Caenorhabditis elegans: one gene and its partners. The protein of the gene in region 1 purifies or fractionates together with the protein of each later gene. This does not show direct contact. Each region holds a gene or a part of one and is shown in the gene's direction. Other genes may lie near its edges.

Evidence for each region. Proteins that work in one complex are often made in the same cells at the same time.
Region 2: the proteins of C45E5.1 (region 1) and F13B12.4 fractionate together in Caenorhabditis elegans (co-fractionation; one large-scale study listed by BioGRID). This does not show direct contact.
Region 3: the proteins of C45E5.1 (region 1) and cri-2 fractionate together in Caenorhabditis elegans (co-fractionation; one large-scale study listed by BioGRID). This does not show direct contact.

What each region holds. Positions count from the first base shown.
Region 1 is NC_003282.8:5,742,332-5,748,486, forward strand, and holds C45E5.1 (Glycerol-3-phosphate phosphatase), read left to right. Parts: upstream 1-2,071; 5' UTR 2,072-2,078; coding exon 2,079-2,275; intron 2,276-2,305; exon of another isoform or gene 2,306-2,326; intron 2,327-2,685; coding exon 2,686-2,979; intron 2,980-3,034; exon of another isoform or gene 3,035-3,055; intron 3,056-3,552; exon of another isoform or gene 3,553-3,573; intron 3,574-3,728; coding exon 3,729-4,031; intron 4,032-4,091; exon of another isoform or gene 4,092-4,112; intron 4,113-4,371; coding exon 4,372-4,489; 3' UTR 4,490-4,779; downstream 4,780-6,155. Other genes in the region: chil-11 (GH18 domain-containing protein), read left to right, coding at 1-649; nhr-46 (Nuclear Hormone Receptor family), read right to left, coding at 5,421-5,528, 5,574-5,734, 5,785-6,155.
Region 2 is NC_003282.8:10,443,678-10,449,342, reverse strand, and holds F13B12.4 (Putative pyridoxal-phosphate dependent protein F13B12.4), read left to right. Parts: upstream 1-2,538; 5' UTR 2,539-2,540; coding exon 2,541-2,652; intron 2,653-2,708; coding exon 2,709-2,906; intron 2,907-3,074; coding exon 3,075-3,247; intron 3,248-3,549; coding exon 3,550-4,139; intron 4,140-4,337; coding exon 4,338-4,572; 3' UTR 4,573-4,758; downstream 4,759-5,665. Other genes in the region: F13B12.7 (Neprosin domain-containing protein), read right to left, coding at 4,759-4,925, 4,969-5,146, 5,190-5,249; F13B12.3 (Ion transport domain-containing protein), read right to left, coding at 5,629-5,665.
Region 3 is NC_003283.11:8,199,589-8,203,428, forward strand, and holds cri-2 (Putative metalloproteinase inhibitor tag-225), read left to right. Parts: upstream 1-2,219; coding exon 2,220-2,444; intron 2,445-2,585; coding exon 2,586-2,792; intron 2,793-2,836; coding exon 2,837-2,881; 3' UTR 2,882-2,935; downstream 2,936-3,840.

The sequences.
Region 1 (6,155 bases):
AATCATTGAGCGTGTCGATTTTGTGAATGTGTACTCTATGAATTACGCGGCACCATGGAGTAATCAATGGGGTACACCCACAGGACCATCTGCTCCGTTGTACGGAGGGCTTGATGCTAGGAGGAAATTTAGTGTCGATTATACTATGAAGTACTACATCAGATACACTCGAAAACCTGAAAAGTTCAATTTGATAATTCCATTTTATGTGAGACATTGGAGAAATGTGGAAAACGCGATTAAACCTGGAATCGAGGTTTTTAGAAATGTAACACTTCAAAATAATGGAGCGATCGGAGAAGTTTATATGTCTAGATGGACTGCAGAAAGTGATGGAATTGAATTATCAAACCCTTCATGGGATGATACAACTAAAACTTTATACATTTGGAAACCAGAAACAAAAACTTTTATCACTTTTGAAACTGAGAAAAGTATTGAAGCAAAAGCCAATTATGTTAAATCTATGAATCTTGGAGGAGTATGGATTTGGTTGATGGAGAATGATGATCAGGATAATAGTATGATTGAAGCAGTTTCCGGTCAATTCGGAAATCCCAGTGATGATCAGTCACAGTACGGTGTTATTGAATCAGTCGGATCTCATTCTAGAAATTTAAATAATAGAATAATTCAAAATAATCAATAAATTATTTATGATGTCTGTAATAATTTGATTGTATTGCCAGCATAATTTGTGTAAAGTGTCAATGATGGAATGTTCAAAATGTTTGTTAAGTTCAATGACTACAATAAAGTGTTATTTTTTGAAAAGTTTTTAATTGAAGTGCTCCTCTCCCCCTGCAACACAAAACTTTAAAAACCGTAGTATTTAGAATTATTCAATTTTTGAAATAATTGTTGAAAAATGTATGTTGAAATGACAGTAATTAAGTTTGTTCCATTCAAAACTTTAGTTGTAAATAGTAACTTGTGGTAACTTTGAACGATGATAAAATTGCATTTAGTTTTGTGCTGCCAGTACTTTTACTTTGAAAACAGTTGCATAGTGTGAAACGCAACGTCTACGGTTTAAACAACTCCTCTTTCTTTATTAATTTTTCATTTCAAAAACTCATCTCGAAATGATGATAGTAGATAAACAAAACGACTTGCTCATTCTATTTTCTCATTGGTTACTATTTTTACTTCGAAACGAACTTGCAAAAAAAAAAAAAATTTTTTTAAATAACTTCTCTAGCGATATTTATGATTCTGTGCCATTTTAGAATATATGTTTAATTTTTCCACAACTTAAACTAAGGAATACCTTATAGGTTTTTGCAATATTAAGACAGTCATCGTACAAACTCTTTTTCAAACAAAAATACATTTATAAAAATTAAAATTTAATAATAAATGTTTTTCGAGAACATGTGTCGGACAAGCGGATCATTGGATTCTACACTGAAGATGCTACAACTGAAATTACAGCTTCAGAACTATCCAAACTAACTCATGCAGTTTTCGGATTTCTTTACTTGAAGACGAATGGAACATTTGACATTTTAAATGATCGTGGAAAAGGAAGATTCAAGAATTTAAATCGATTAATAAAATATGAAAATCTGAATGTTAAAATGATGTTTTCAATTGGTGGATGGGCTGACTCGACAAATTTCCGATCGGTTGTAGCGGACGTCAAAATTAAAAGGTTTGAAATTTTAAATTATTTCTGAATTTCGGAGAATTGAAACGAAATAATTGCTTGTTACTATACTTTCGATTTGAAACATTAAAAAAAAAGCAAAGAATTCAGAAAACAACATTTTTTAAATGAAAAATAACTCGAAAAAAGATTTTGGCTGCACATCAATAACATTGATTTCAATGAAAAATGCAAAACGAAATTGTTAGTTTCAAAGACAATACGATGAATTATTTAAACAAAGTTCTAATGATAAAAAAGATGTTCTAATCGAAATAATCGTTCAATGATTTCTCTTATCTCTCAAATAATGCACCCGTATTTCGTAGGCGAAAAGGTCAGACCACTTGATAGACAATCTTATTTCTCCATTACACCATTCAATTTTCCATTTTTTCGTACTTCAAAACTCTGAAATTCTAGGAATACAATGCTTCCTCCAACAATTACAAAATCTCAGCTTTTATCAAATTTTGATACATTCGTTTTCGATGCCGATGGTGTTCTTTGGACTGGAGATATTCCGATTCCTGGAGCTGCTGAATGGATTAATACATTACTTGATGATCCGGAAAAGAGTGTTTTTATTACAACGAATAATTCGACAAAGACTTTGGAACAATATATGCAAGTTTTTATTGTAATTAAAGAACATTTCTCACAATTCAAAAAAAGATATCAAAAATTTGATGAATACATTTTAAAAGTAGGGCAGTTGAAACCGGTTTTTTAATGTGGAGATGGAATAGTTTTTCCCGGTTTTTTTTAAAATGAAGTACATATATGATTTTTTAATAAAATTCCAAGAGAAATTTGAAAAAAAGAACCGATTTATTTACCACAAATTTTGTGTCGAAAACTTAAATTCCAAATAAAATTCTTTAAATTTTTGAAAACGGTTATGTTCTGTCACTTCGGACCGTTTTTTGAATATTGAAAAAAATCCCGCTGTTTTTTTTTCTCCAGCGTACATATAATTGAAAATAACGGTTTGAAACTTTTTATGGGAACAGTTTTTATATTTATTTCTCTTTCAGGAAAAAAGTCAAAAAAATGCGATTTGGTCGACTTGGAAGAGAGAACTTACTTAGTCCAACCATCGTTCTATGTGATTATTTCAAACAAAATTCTGATAAATTTGAAAATCAATACATTTATCTCATTGGAGTGGAGAATTTAAAAAAAAGTTTGGAAGAAGGAGGCGGAGTTAAATGCTTTGGAACTGGACCCGATCATAAGGATAATTATACAGATGGAGATTTTATTAATGAAGTTGATGTTAAATCGAAAATTCCAAAAGCAGTTGTTGTGAGCTTCGATTCACATTTCAGGTGGGTTACTGTTTCAAGATTTGTATCTAGTAAAGTTGAGATTATGTTAAATCAGTGCGTCGTTGAACTTCAAACAAGTATTTACTAGTTTTTTTATTAGAACGACTGTTTTTTTTAATATTTCACCAAATACAAAGAGAAAAATCACAGGGTATTCAACGGTAAAATATAAAGTTTACGATAAAGTTATCCTATTAACCATACAATAGACCGGGGCATCAAGTGGGGGGGGGGGATAATTAATTGTTGATCTATATCACCTCCGGCGCGGCTCCCGACTTCTGGGGCTCAAAACTAATTTTTTTCTGAAACTACCGTAACCCTACAGTATTCCTACCGTACCACTATTGTACCACTACAGTACCCCGACTATATCCCTACACTAACCCCAACTCACTATCAATCCATAAGCTAAAACTTCACAGACTACAAGGACTACAAACTATGGACAAACGGAATAAGCGCTTTATATATAGTAAATGATTGTAATACAAACTGAGAGCATAATTTAAAAAATCTGGTTAACATGTTTCAATACATGCATAATATGATAACCATGAATTCTTAATCCAATCACATCAAGAATTGAACACCTAACATTTTTCCGTTTCTCTGAAACAGCTCATTTGAGTTTATACAAATTTTTTTGAGACGGCTTGAAAACTAAAAAAAACTACACAATGTATATATAATTTCAAAAAAATTGAAATATATTATTTTATCAATTATCTAAATTGTTCGTATTACAGCTATCCTAAACTGATGAAAGCCGCCAATTTTCTTGCGGATCCATTAGTCGAGTTCCTCGTTTGCAATGAAGATTCAACATTCCCGGGACCTGTACCAGGAATGATTCTTCCTGAAACTGGACCCTGGTCGGCTGCTATTCAAAATGTTTCTGGTCGAAAACCGGATATTGTATTCGGAAAACCACACGAACAATTGGCAAACTTTTTGAAATCGAGAGTTCAGGCAGGAAAATTCAATTCCGAGCGCACTGTCATGTTTGGAGATCGATTGGATACGGATATGATGTTCGGGAAAAATAATGGGTTAGTAATTTTTATTTTTTTATGAGTTTTATTCCACGTTGTGACTGATAAACTTTGAAAGTAGTAGTAAAAAACATCACAATGTCAAAACTCGAAGTCAATCTACTTTTCAAGTGATTCAGAAACCGCTAAAAATTTAATTTTTAATTTTTTTAAGTTTGGTTTTTTTTTTAAGAAATGGTTTTGAACAGCTTAGTTTCTTATAATTATTGTAGCTTTTATTGGTCTTGCATTTTTACTGACTAATCAAAAATTGCATGCAAGATCAATAGAAGTAACCAGAAGTATTCAATTTTTAATAACAGTTAACACCAAAACTATCTAAAAATTTTCTTTCCAGGTTCACAACTGTTTGGATGCAAACCGGAGTCAACACTCTATTGGACATTGAACTCGCTCGTAAAAACGGGGAATCCACGAAAATTCCAGATTTTACATGTAGATTTTCAGAATTCTAGATTTTTACAATAACATAACTAGGTAAAAGGATGTTTTTATATCTCTCCTGAGCCAAACAGCATATTAGCATTTAGGAGTGTGCTCACCAGATAAATTTATTCCGTGAAACTGCAAATGTTTTTCAAAACCTCGAGTTTTGAAGTAATCTTCCTGTTATATTTTTTCTTGAAATACGCGGCATTTATCCTCATTGATTTTTTTAAAGTTTTATGTCTAACTGTGCCATCTACAAAAGAATGTAAAACCGTACGTGTTTAATTTTGTAGTCAATAAAAATGGGATTTCACTGCTTTTCTAGAAATACACAGTCTAAAATAAATAACTACTCTCAATCATCATACAATCATTAATTAGGATTTCAAAACAGGTAAAAGGTGAACATTCCGGAGTGTACACACCAGATAAATTTATTCTGTGAAACAGATTTTTTTTGGAAATTTGAAGTTCAAAATTATCTTGTTCTTCATAATTTGAAAACTGGTTGTTTTTTATTACGCGGTATTTTTCATTCATTGTAGAAGTTTTAGTGTTTCAGTTGCAATAGTTGCCGAACTTTTAATCCACGAAGAAATTTATTTCTCAGGTCAAAAATAAAACAATTTTGAGAGTAAAAAACCAATAAAGCCATCAAGGTGTACATACAAATTAATAAATAAGAAATTTCCATCTAAAACAAGGTTGGACTGGAAATGAAATTCAGAATCACAGATGAGAAAATGAGTGTAGAGTGAGTGAGTGAGAGACGGAGAGAAATGAGACATAGAACAAGATGAATGATTGAAATGAAAAGAGGTGTGTACATTCAATAAAAGAACATTTAACCCGCAAAGCACACGATTTCAAGAAAAACGAGAAGAGAAACATGAAGAAAGAGAAATAGAGAAAGAGAGAGTTTTAGTAGGCAAATAACACAGTATATGGATTTGGCATCTAGAGAGTGGTTTGGGCAGTACAAATTTCCATTGGGACACCGCTGAGTTGATGGAGATCAGCTGCAGTGAGTTGGGTGATCAATGTAGATTCGACTTGTCCAATGTGCTGAAAAATATTTTTATTGGATTTTCTAGGTGTTAATTTTCTTACCGAGAAGCTTGGCAACATGAGTGAGATCTTCAAAGCACGAGTCATTCGTTGACTGGTCGTGTGATATGGGTACCGCTTTTCAATGTGGGCTGAAAGAGCGTCAAGAAGGCGATCACGCATTCGCGAGCAGATTCCTTGACCGGCTTCCGAAAGGATGCAATCTTAAAAAATTAAACATTGAGTAAAATAGAAAAGAACTGCAAATCTTTACCTTGCTGGAATAGAGAAATAGTCTTGATGAGGCAATACTCTTCCTCAGTGATTTGCAACTCAATCATAGCCTTTACAATCAAATCGATCAACTTGCGGCACACAACTCCATACGTTTGAGCCCATCGTTCTGGGAGCTTCTTTTGATCTTCGTCGTTGTACGGGATGTAGGCACCGTTTCCGAGTGGCATTCCAGTCAAATGTTGCTTCAACTCAAAGCACTTATAGGCAAATGTGATCCATCCGAAAGCCATAAAGTTTTGCTTGAAAAGTGTCGTCTGATCGGCGAGTGGGAGGACACGGAACTCCGGGATTCCCATTGCCCAGTCGGCAGCAAACACGAATGAACGGTACCAGGAGAGGTAGAGATCG
Region 2 (5,665 bases), 4.7 Mb from region 1:
ATAAGCTTGGCACGTAAAGTTGGGTGAGAGAAAGTTATAGACAAACAACCGGCTCCTAAATTAGATTTTTGGAATTAATAGATTGCATGAATATTTTTGGTACCTTTTTTGTTCAATTTTTTTCACAGGAATTAAACATTAAATGCATACATTGTTAAAAATATATAGATATGCGCATCACTAGTTTTCAAAATTGATTTTTTTTGTTCCAGGCCCTAAAAAATCAACTTCAACTGACATCACTCTTCTTAATAATTGAAAAAACGCCCGCGCATCATGGTTTATTTTAAACTTAAAGACAAATGAGTATTAGCAAAAGTGGCTTAAAAATGTTTGAAGGTTGTTTGAAACAAGATATAAATCTATTAATCGATGCAAGTTTCTTTAAGGGCAGAGCTAAATGAACAGTTCCGTTTTTTTCGCAGATAGCTTTCTCGGTAGATACAAATATGATTGTACATCTTCAAAGCGTCCCATAACTTAAACGTAATGGTAAATTATTTTTAATTTAAATGTGAAACAGTGAATAATTTTCCTAAATATGTTCATTTACAAAAATTAAAAATGACCGAATATCATAATGAAACAGTTTAGATTTTTTAAAAATTTCAATCAAAGTTTTTTTTGGTTGGTTTCTTTCGAGGCTATAGCAATTTTGGAGCTTTTTCAATGTTCAAACCAGAGATGTGCGGCAAAAAATATTTGTCCGCATAGTTCGGGAGATGCATTTTGCCAAAAACCCAGCAGTTGTCTTTTTTCAGCAACTTATGGATTTCCTTTTTTGGATATACAAATTTTCACTTTTTAAAAATAATAAATTAAACTCATTTTGTGAGTGTTTGTATAAATAGTTTTCGACAAATTGTAATTTTCGGGTGAAAAATCTGAACAAAATTGAGTTAAATTTTTAAAAACTCTTAAATTTCTAGAAAGTAATGTAGTCAAAATTTAAAACCTTTACTCTAGATTGAAAACGAACAGATGTTTTTCTGCAATCAAATTAATTAATTTGCAACATTTAAACCTCTTGACGTACTGAAATTGTTCTTTTTTGTTTATTTCCTTGTTCTCTTACAATTGGCAAATCTTTTGTTTGAAAGCAGTAACACATCATACTTTTCCAGACTAATCTCTTCAATAATTTCTATGAGTTTAAAATGAATTAAGACAAAGGTGCAAGAAAGATATGACATCATTTGACCTACATGCTTCATTTTAATTTGTATACCGCTTCAAAATGATATCATTTCAGAAGATGATGCGATTTGAAACAAAATTTGAGAAGCCGTAGTGTATGTAGTAGTTTTAATTAAATCAAATCATCTTAGTATAAACTGCTTCCGGTTTCCGGAATCTAAATTCAAATCAAAATTTTTTTGACTTGACATTTTTAGAAAAATGGCAAGAAACTGATCTAGAGACAACCAGACATCAGTGATCAGCTCCGATTCTTGGTTTACTTGGACTGAACAAAATACGTAAAACAAAGAAATTAACGAACGAATCTTTATTGTGCTTTAAAAGCATTAGTTGCAAGGAAAAGAACACTTGGAGGGTAGCTCAGGCTACTGTAACCATGATTTTATATTTTTGTTTTTTAGGTTTTCTGGGGAACTTTCAAATCTCCACAGGAAGATCCAAATCTGGGTGTTATTCGTTTATTCAGTGTCTTCAAAGATTTTTATCGTTTTGCAAATAACCTTCATATCCAAATTTATGCAACAATTTTGGGACTGGCGGATTTATTTCTAAACAATTATGGGAAATTCAATATAATAAAAATGTTCGAGCCTTATATATATTAAAAGTGCGGAAAGTTTGTATAAAAGTGGTGCCGAATTGCCGAGAAGGTTTTGAAACTCTCTAGCGTTTAAATTTCGACTGAAACTTAAAAATGGATTATCGTGTATTTTGGCAGTAGGCACGGGGCAGGCATATATCGCCTTGCACGCGGACAGACAGTCTCATGAAAAAGTTATCTTTCAGTTCTTTTTACCAACCTTAAATTTACTATATATTATTTTAGAAAATATCCTTTTACGCGCAATTTTTTGAATAGAAAGCTTCCTATGACATTTAGCAGAGTTTAAGAAAAATTTAATTTCTACATTTCAAAAATTAGAGAATTTTGTATTGTCCAGGTATTATTTTTTGTTTTGAAGCACTATTTCAAAATGAGTATCATTTCAAGTCATATAAGAAATGAGTTTAATTTTGATCAGCTTATCATTGAAACCGGAACTCTTGCAAAAAGAAAACTTAGATTCATAAATAGTCGCATCACTTATTTTTTTAATGTTTACTTTTCATTTCAAGTTTTTTATAAAGTTCACTTTCTAAACACTCCATGAACCATGTATACTATAATAGTTGTTTGACTCCGGAAACTGTGCTCTTTCATTAATTTGTGGGCGTGGTCATGCTCTTCATTGCGTTCGAAATTTCAATCTTCCTACTGTACTTGTGGGCGTGACCCCGGACTTATAAAAGAAAATTCCAATTGATACATCAATCACAAATTTAATTCATCGTTTTCAGCCATGAAACTACTTCTTCTGGCTCTGTTTCTGAGCATATCCGCAAGTTGCCTTGCAGAAGATATAACAAAAATTTCTGAAAGTCGAATTCCGAATGAGGATGCTGTACCTGATTGTTAGTTTTTTTTTTCTCAAGGTCTTTTTAATTCAATAAACATAAAATATTTTTAGATGAAGCAAAATGGAGGCTCGGAGCAATTCAAAAATTATGGAATGAACGACGAAAGATGGGACACACACCAATGACAAAATTCAGTCCCCCTGGTTTCCCGAACGCCGACATTTTCTTCAAAAATGAAACTGCCACAGCTACGAGAACGTTGAAGCACAGATTTGCATGGGCTCTTCTTCTTTGGGCTATTACAGAAGGTTAGTATGTTATTTAATTGGTGAAGTACAGTGTATCTGCGAAAACTTATATTCTGCAGGTTTTTTACTGCTAAGCTATGAGTATGAGAGCTATGAGTAAGCTAGTCCAGAAACGTTAAATAAATAACATTTCTCAAAAAAAATTTCTGCAAATTTTAAAATTTCCAGGAAAAGTGACTTCAAAAACATCCGCTGTCTACGACTCAACATCTGGTAATACTGGGTCTGCTGAAGCCTACATGTGTACTTTAGTCAATGTCCCATACTATGCTGTCGTTGCTGATAATTTGGAAAAGGAGAAAGTCAAGCAAATTGAGAGTTTCGGAGGAAAAATTATCAAGGTACTTCTTCTACTTACACAGAGTCACATACAGTATTTTTGGTTTAATTTTCATTTAATATTGACCAATTTTTTGAGTTAGCCAAAGTTTTTCCAGTTTTTAAGAACTCTAACCCCAAAACTTTCTCATTCAACTCAACGCCAATTTCTTATAAAATTTCTTTATAGAGAAACAACTTTTATTGTGTGAAATTTCGCGTTAAAATTTTTAAAGATGAGGGAAGCGTTGTTAAGAAAGTTGGAAAATGTCGAGAAAGAAGCAGAAAAATAAAAAAAATTATTGTAAGTTTTGCTTTGTTTCAGGTTCCTGTGGCTCTTCGCAATGCAAAAGCTAAGGAATTCGCCGACAAAAACCACGGATTCTACATGAATCAATTTGGAAACGCTGAAAAAGCTGAAGAATTCCATGAAAGTGGAGACTTTTATTTTGAGTCCACAAATGTCTATCATGAAATTATTGTTCAACTCAAAAAGGACAAAGAGCAAATTGTCAAAATCCCTGACTACTTTGTTCATTCAGCAGGAACCGGTGGAACTATTTCGTCAGTTGGCAGATATGTCGCTAGATATGGAGCACCTACAAAAGTCGTACTCTCCGATTCTCAATACTCTTTATTCTACGATTATGTAATTGGACATAAATTCACAAATCAATCTGGTGCAGGTATTTGGACACCTCCAGGGATTGCTGGAATTGGTTACGGATATGATATTGAACCAGTGTGGTACGGAGAAACAACAAGTTTAACAAGAAATGTAATCCATGAAGCCATGAAAATGCCTGATATTGCATCAGTAGCTACAATGAGAATTCTCGATGAAAAAGGTTATAATGTGGGACCGTCAACATCACTCAACTTCCTTGTTTCTCTTTACAAAGCCTATCAGAACAAGTAAGTAATTCAAACTGACATCATTGCAAACTAATCCGTCTAGAGTATTTATTCGTTGTCTTTTGACGACTTAAGCGTTTACTAGTACATTTAAATTTTTGCGTTAAAAAATATGTTTTAATAGTTTAGTTTACGCAAGCGTATCAATATACCTTGCGTATACCTTGGCTATCAAATCTTGATGAACACAATTTTCAGAGCCAGAAAATCTGCTATCAAGCATCGTCTTACGATTGTTACACTGGCTTGTGACCCAGGAGATTTCTACCGTAGTACGTACCTTAACAACGAATGGGTCGAGAAAAGTTTCAAGAAGTTTGGAGGTGTTATGGGAATGGAATGTTGGAAAAAGCTGATTCAAGAATCAATTGATACGGGTTCTGATTTCTATTCGAAAGGTCTCACTATGTGTCCAGGAGCTTTTAAAGTTTAACTGTTTTGCATTTCTGTGTTTTTGTGTCTCTCCGTATTGTACAGGTTCGTAATTGATCAATTTTAAATTAGATTGTTTTTTTCGAAAATAGAACTCATAGTTCCAGTGATTAAGTCTATTCCCGTGCATGAGTTTTGTGCTTGCTTTGATCTGTATTCAAGTTTAATTGAATAAACTATTTATTATTTAATTATCTGAAAACGCAAAAGTTATAATATTTGCACATAAGGCAAATATGAAAATATACACAACAAAAATTGACCAGTCGACGCCGCGAACAACAGGTTGATCAAGAAAACCATATTGAAAATCAATTGAATCTTTTTTGCGACCATCCGGTGTGTAGATGATTCCTGAAAACAGAAATTGTGATTTTTCAAAGTTCTAAAAACTGACCTGTCAATGATCTTTTCGAACAAATGAACATTTTCTTGCAAACTTCACAATATGTTGGACATTGCACAATATGTGTTGAATTATTGTCAAGAAAAGCCAACCCATCGTAAAGAGGACAGCTGACAACTTTATTTCCGATCGAAAATTGAAATATTTCAGTTTTGTTGCAAACTTCGTTCTGAAATGCGGACTTTACTTACATGGCGAAAATTTTAACTCACTTGAATACGGTACATTCTAGTTGTCTTGGAAACAAATTTAGGAATATCTCCCGTTCTCATTAAGGAAGTCAATATGTTAACTTCATTCGGATCTTTCTCGAATAGTTTGATTGCTATCTGAGTGCAAATTACATTAGTATGCAAAAATGTTTTACAATAGATAATTTGCAATGAAAAATGCTGCCGACAATTGTAATTGTTTTTTGAAGTTTTAGCAATGAAAACGCCCGCCCGCCTTGTGTCCAGTTTCAATCACCTTACAAAACTTACTTTTAGCGATTCCACATATTCTATTTGAAAACTAAAACAACACAACACGAAAAGATAGTTTTTAATATACATCTTTATTTGAAATAATGTTCCATAAACTTTCAAGTTGTGCAATATTATTCCACGTTTTGAATGTTTCGTTTAAAATAATAAATTCCACGCGAAATTGCTAGAACGTTGTTTGAGATCGTATTCTTCTGAACCGG
Region 3 (3,840 bases), on another chromosome or scaffold:
GAGAAAAATCAACGAAGATGTGGGAAAACAACAACATATTTCAAAACATCCACGTTATCAGTTTTTGGTAAACAATATTTGTTTGCGTGGAAGGTTTTTGTAAACGAAGCGTTATTTTCTGAATTATTTTTTTTTTCTGATTAATCGTAATGGTTAGAAATGTTTTCGAATTTTTTATTTGAAACTATGTTTCTGTACTTACGGAAAATTTTCCAAAACGTTTAATTTTCAGTATGTCCAATTTATACATCAAAGACTCTAAACTTTAGATTTAAATCTTATTGAAATTAGTAAATTTTGAATGAAAATCTCGACAATAAACCACTAGAAGATCATCAAGGTTAAACGAAGTAAACAAGAAAAACTGGAGAAGAAAAAACGTCGAAACGATCAGTTGAAGGAAACATGATCCTTCATATTGGAACGAAACGCTCAAAAATCAAAATTTGTCGTTTGAAAGTTTAACCTTTAAGTTTGAAAATGATACGTCTTAATTGTTTTTTTTAAAAATCGGTATCACTAGCTTTAAAAAAAAGTGCAAAAACGTTAAAATGGAAAATCCCTTTTCTTGAAAACCGAGAGATGAAGAGAACCGAGACATACAAACAAAACTCTCCGTAGAACGGCCTATGGTGACACTCACAAACAACAACATAATTGGGAGAATTGAGAGAAATAGTGGGAAAATGCGGAAATTTAGGAAAAAGAGGTTCAATGAACATATTTATAGAGACAATTGTTTTTGGACGGGAAAATGTGAACTTATGGGCTATGAAAATTTTTATAAAAGTACGATTACTTCCTTGCCGGAATTTCAATTTCAAATAATCAAAGCTGATAATTTAGTTCAAAATAATATTCCACAATAATCATATAATGTTTAATTTTCAGTAGTTTCATTCGGGATAGTTGTAAAGAACAATTTTGTGAACGATAATTGCAAAAAAATCGTCTTTTATCCAAAAATCTCATGGCAAACAAAATTATATTTCAAGCTTGTTTTCAAGCTTTAGAATCACATTTTTCAAGCTTTAGAATCAAAGAATCAGAAATCATAAGAATTTCATTTTAAGCTTTGATTACCACATAAATCATTTGGTATGGATGAATGATGCTTTTCGTTTTTTGGTTTTGTGACCATATTTTATGAGTCCACCGGAATTTTATAAAAGCTCGGGTCTCTGAAAAAACTGCTATAAGCCAAGCTGAACATTCGCTTGAAACAAGCGTGAAATGAAGTATACTGTCAGTTTGTTCAATTATTAGCACGGCAGTTGGCTATTGTCATTGAAAGTGAATGTTTGAGTGAGTCTCTACGGATTGAAACTTTTTTTTTTGAAGTTTGATGAATGGTTTGTGAAACAATATTTTTGTGTCTCGTTTTTTATTTTATAAAGTCAAATATTCCAAAAGTCCAATAGTGAATCACAAACTTTGGTTTATGTTTTGCAGCATTGTGAAGAAGTTGTTATTAGTCTCGATGCCATGATGAAGCTACAATAGTCTTGGGTTATAATAGGTGAACATTAAATTTGCCTGGGATGCTATAACAGAAATTTATGCAGGCCAAGGAGTTTCCGTGCCTTCGCAAACTTTTTTTTTCTACATATTAATTCAATCAAAACTTATTTCTTATGTACATGCAAATTAAGTATTCAGACTCCAGTTTCCAAAACTATTATTTCCAGAAAAATGTCTGTAAAATAGTGAGTTTGGAATTTCTATCAAAATCTCTTTTCAGTTATCTTTATCATATTTCAAGACGTCATAATAATGATTCATCACTTATTCACCATCTTTCATTTTTTTTTGTCACACTAATGTTATTGTTACACTTCCTGTCTCTCATCGTCTCATATCTCTCGGATCTCTGTACTATATCTACTCTTGACCGATTCAATTCGCTCAACCAATGTCATCTCACGATCAGTCTTGGGTTGAACTATCAACAAAATAACTATTTTCTTTTTTTTTTGTTTGTTTCAAAAACAAAAACTTGAGCCCAAATTTATAGATTCTTGTATTTTTAAAGTTTATGATATGAATTATTTGGCTAGAAAAATGAATTATTTGAGCAAGTTAATGTTATTTTGCCATCAAAAACAATTTTTGTGTAAAAAAATATATTATTACCAAAATTTTCCTGCTTTCTTCATGTTTCATTTTTTTCATTTTCACAATTTTTTTTCACCTCGAATTTATACTAATTCCATTTTCAGATGCAAAATTTATCTTTATCTCTAGTCATTCTATCAGTTCTCATTGCTGTAACTCTTGCTTGCAAGTGTAGAGAGCAATCAACCAAGGAATCATTCTGCAATGCTCACTGGGTTTCTCATGTCAAAGTGAAGGTCCGTGTAGGAAAACAAGGACTTCCAGAAGGATCCGAGAGAAAGGGATTGAATAATTTGAGATACACTGTGCAACATGTCGAGGTTTTTAAGGTAAGCGAGTTTGATTTATTTTACCCCGCAGGTGCTAAAAACTTACTGATAAGCTTATATCAGCGTTCTATACAACTGAAAGTAACATGCATTTCAAACTTACAGAAAAATGTTTCTATGTCAAAGTTTTTTTAATTTCAGAAACCATCCAACATGACAACTCTGCCAGATGAAATTTTCACTCCATCAGAAGCTCCAGCTTGCGGGCTCAAGATTGCCGCCGGTCATGAATATCTACTTGCTGGTCGTGTTGAAGGACCAAATGCTTTGTATACTGTTCTTTGCGGTCAAGTACTGCCAGATGACAGATCTCAAACGTCATTTGAAAACGTTCTTGAATGGAAAAATGTGAGTTGAAAATGCTGTTTGCTAAATAAATTGTTAACTTCCAGGTTCCACAGACATTGCAATCTCAAGTCAAGTCTATCAAATGCTAGAAAGAAATAAAAACGATTTTATTAGTATTTGATAATAAAACTTTAATGAATCTGATTAAATAAACTTACAATTAATGAAAAAAACTTTTAAAGCGAAGCTATGATAAAACAAACGATATTTTCATGTGAGTGAGCAGAAGTTATTGTTTGTAAAAAATTGAAAGCATTATTTTTTCAATAATCGGTATTCGATAATCAGAGGGTGACAGATGTTTTCAGCTGTAAGACTACAAAGGGTGAAAGTCTCACTACATGACTACACGGTCCCTATTGATGGCTACACTGAAATGGTTCAACAGCGCCATTCACATTTTCAGGTGTTCTATATATGTATGTGTTCTCTGCCGGGAATATTTTGTTCAAAACTTATAGCTTTAATCTTTGAATAAATCAAGAAAAAAATTCCTATACCCAACATCTATTAAAGTTATCTTTGGAGAAAAATTTCATGTTTCAGGTTCCTGTTGAGAAAATGTTTCCAAATTTGCTCGGGTGCTCTGAGATCAGTTTTAAAATGAATAACTGTGTAAAACTGTTTGAGTTTTCCAATGTTTGTCGTTGAAAACTGTCGTGGAATATTCATAAAAAAATTTGTCAACAACATTATGAACACGACTTTTTTATTCAAGCACATTTCGCTAAAACCTTCTGTTTTTGAGTTCTACCGATTTGAATAAGTTTGCTAAATTGTCAAAACAAAATTTTGAATTCATCTGTAGCTGGATTATAAATTTTATTCAATTCCCGTGTTCTCCCACCTTCTCATGTTCTTCTTGTCTTTTCACAAAGTAAACATAACACAATTATCACCACACATCTGACCCTTCTTTACCTTCCCCTACCATCTCCATCTTTCTTCATGTATGCCTGGGCTATCTCATATTTGTTTGCAGCACAAATAACTTCTCCACCTTTCGGCTGCGTCTCTTCTATACCGTCAGTCTCTCACCGTTTTGTTG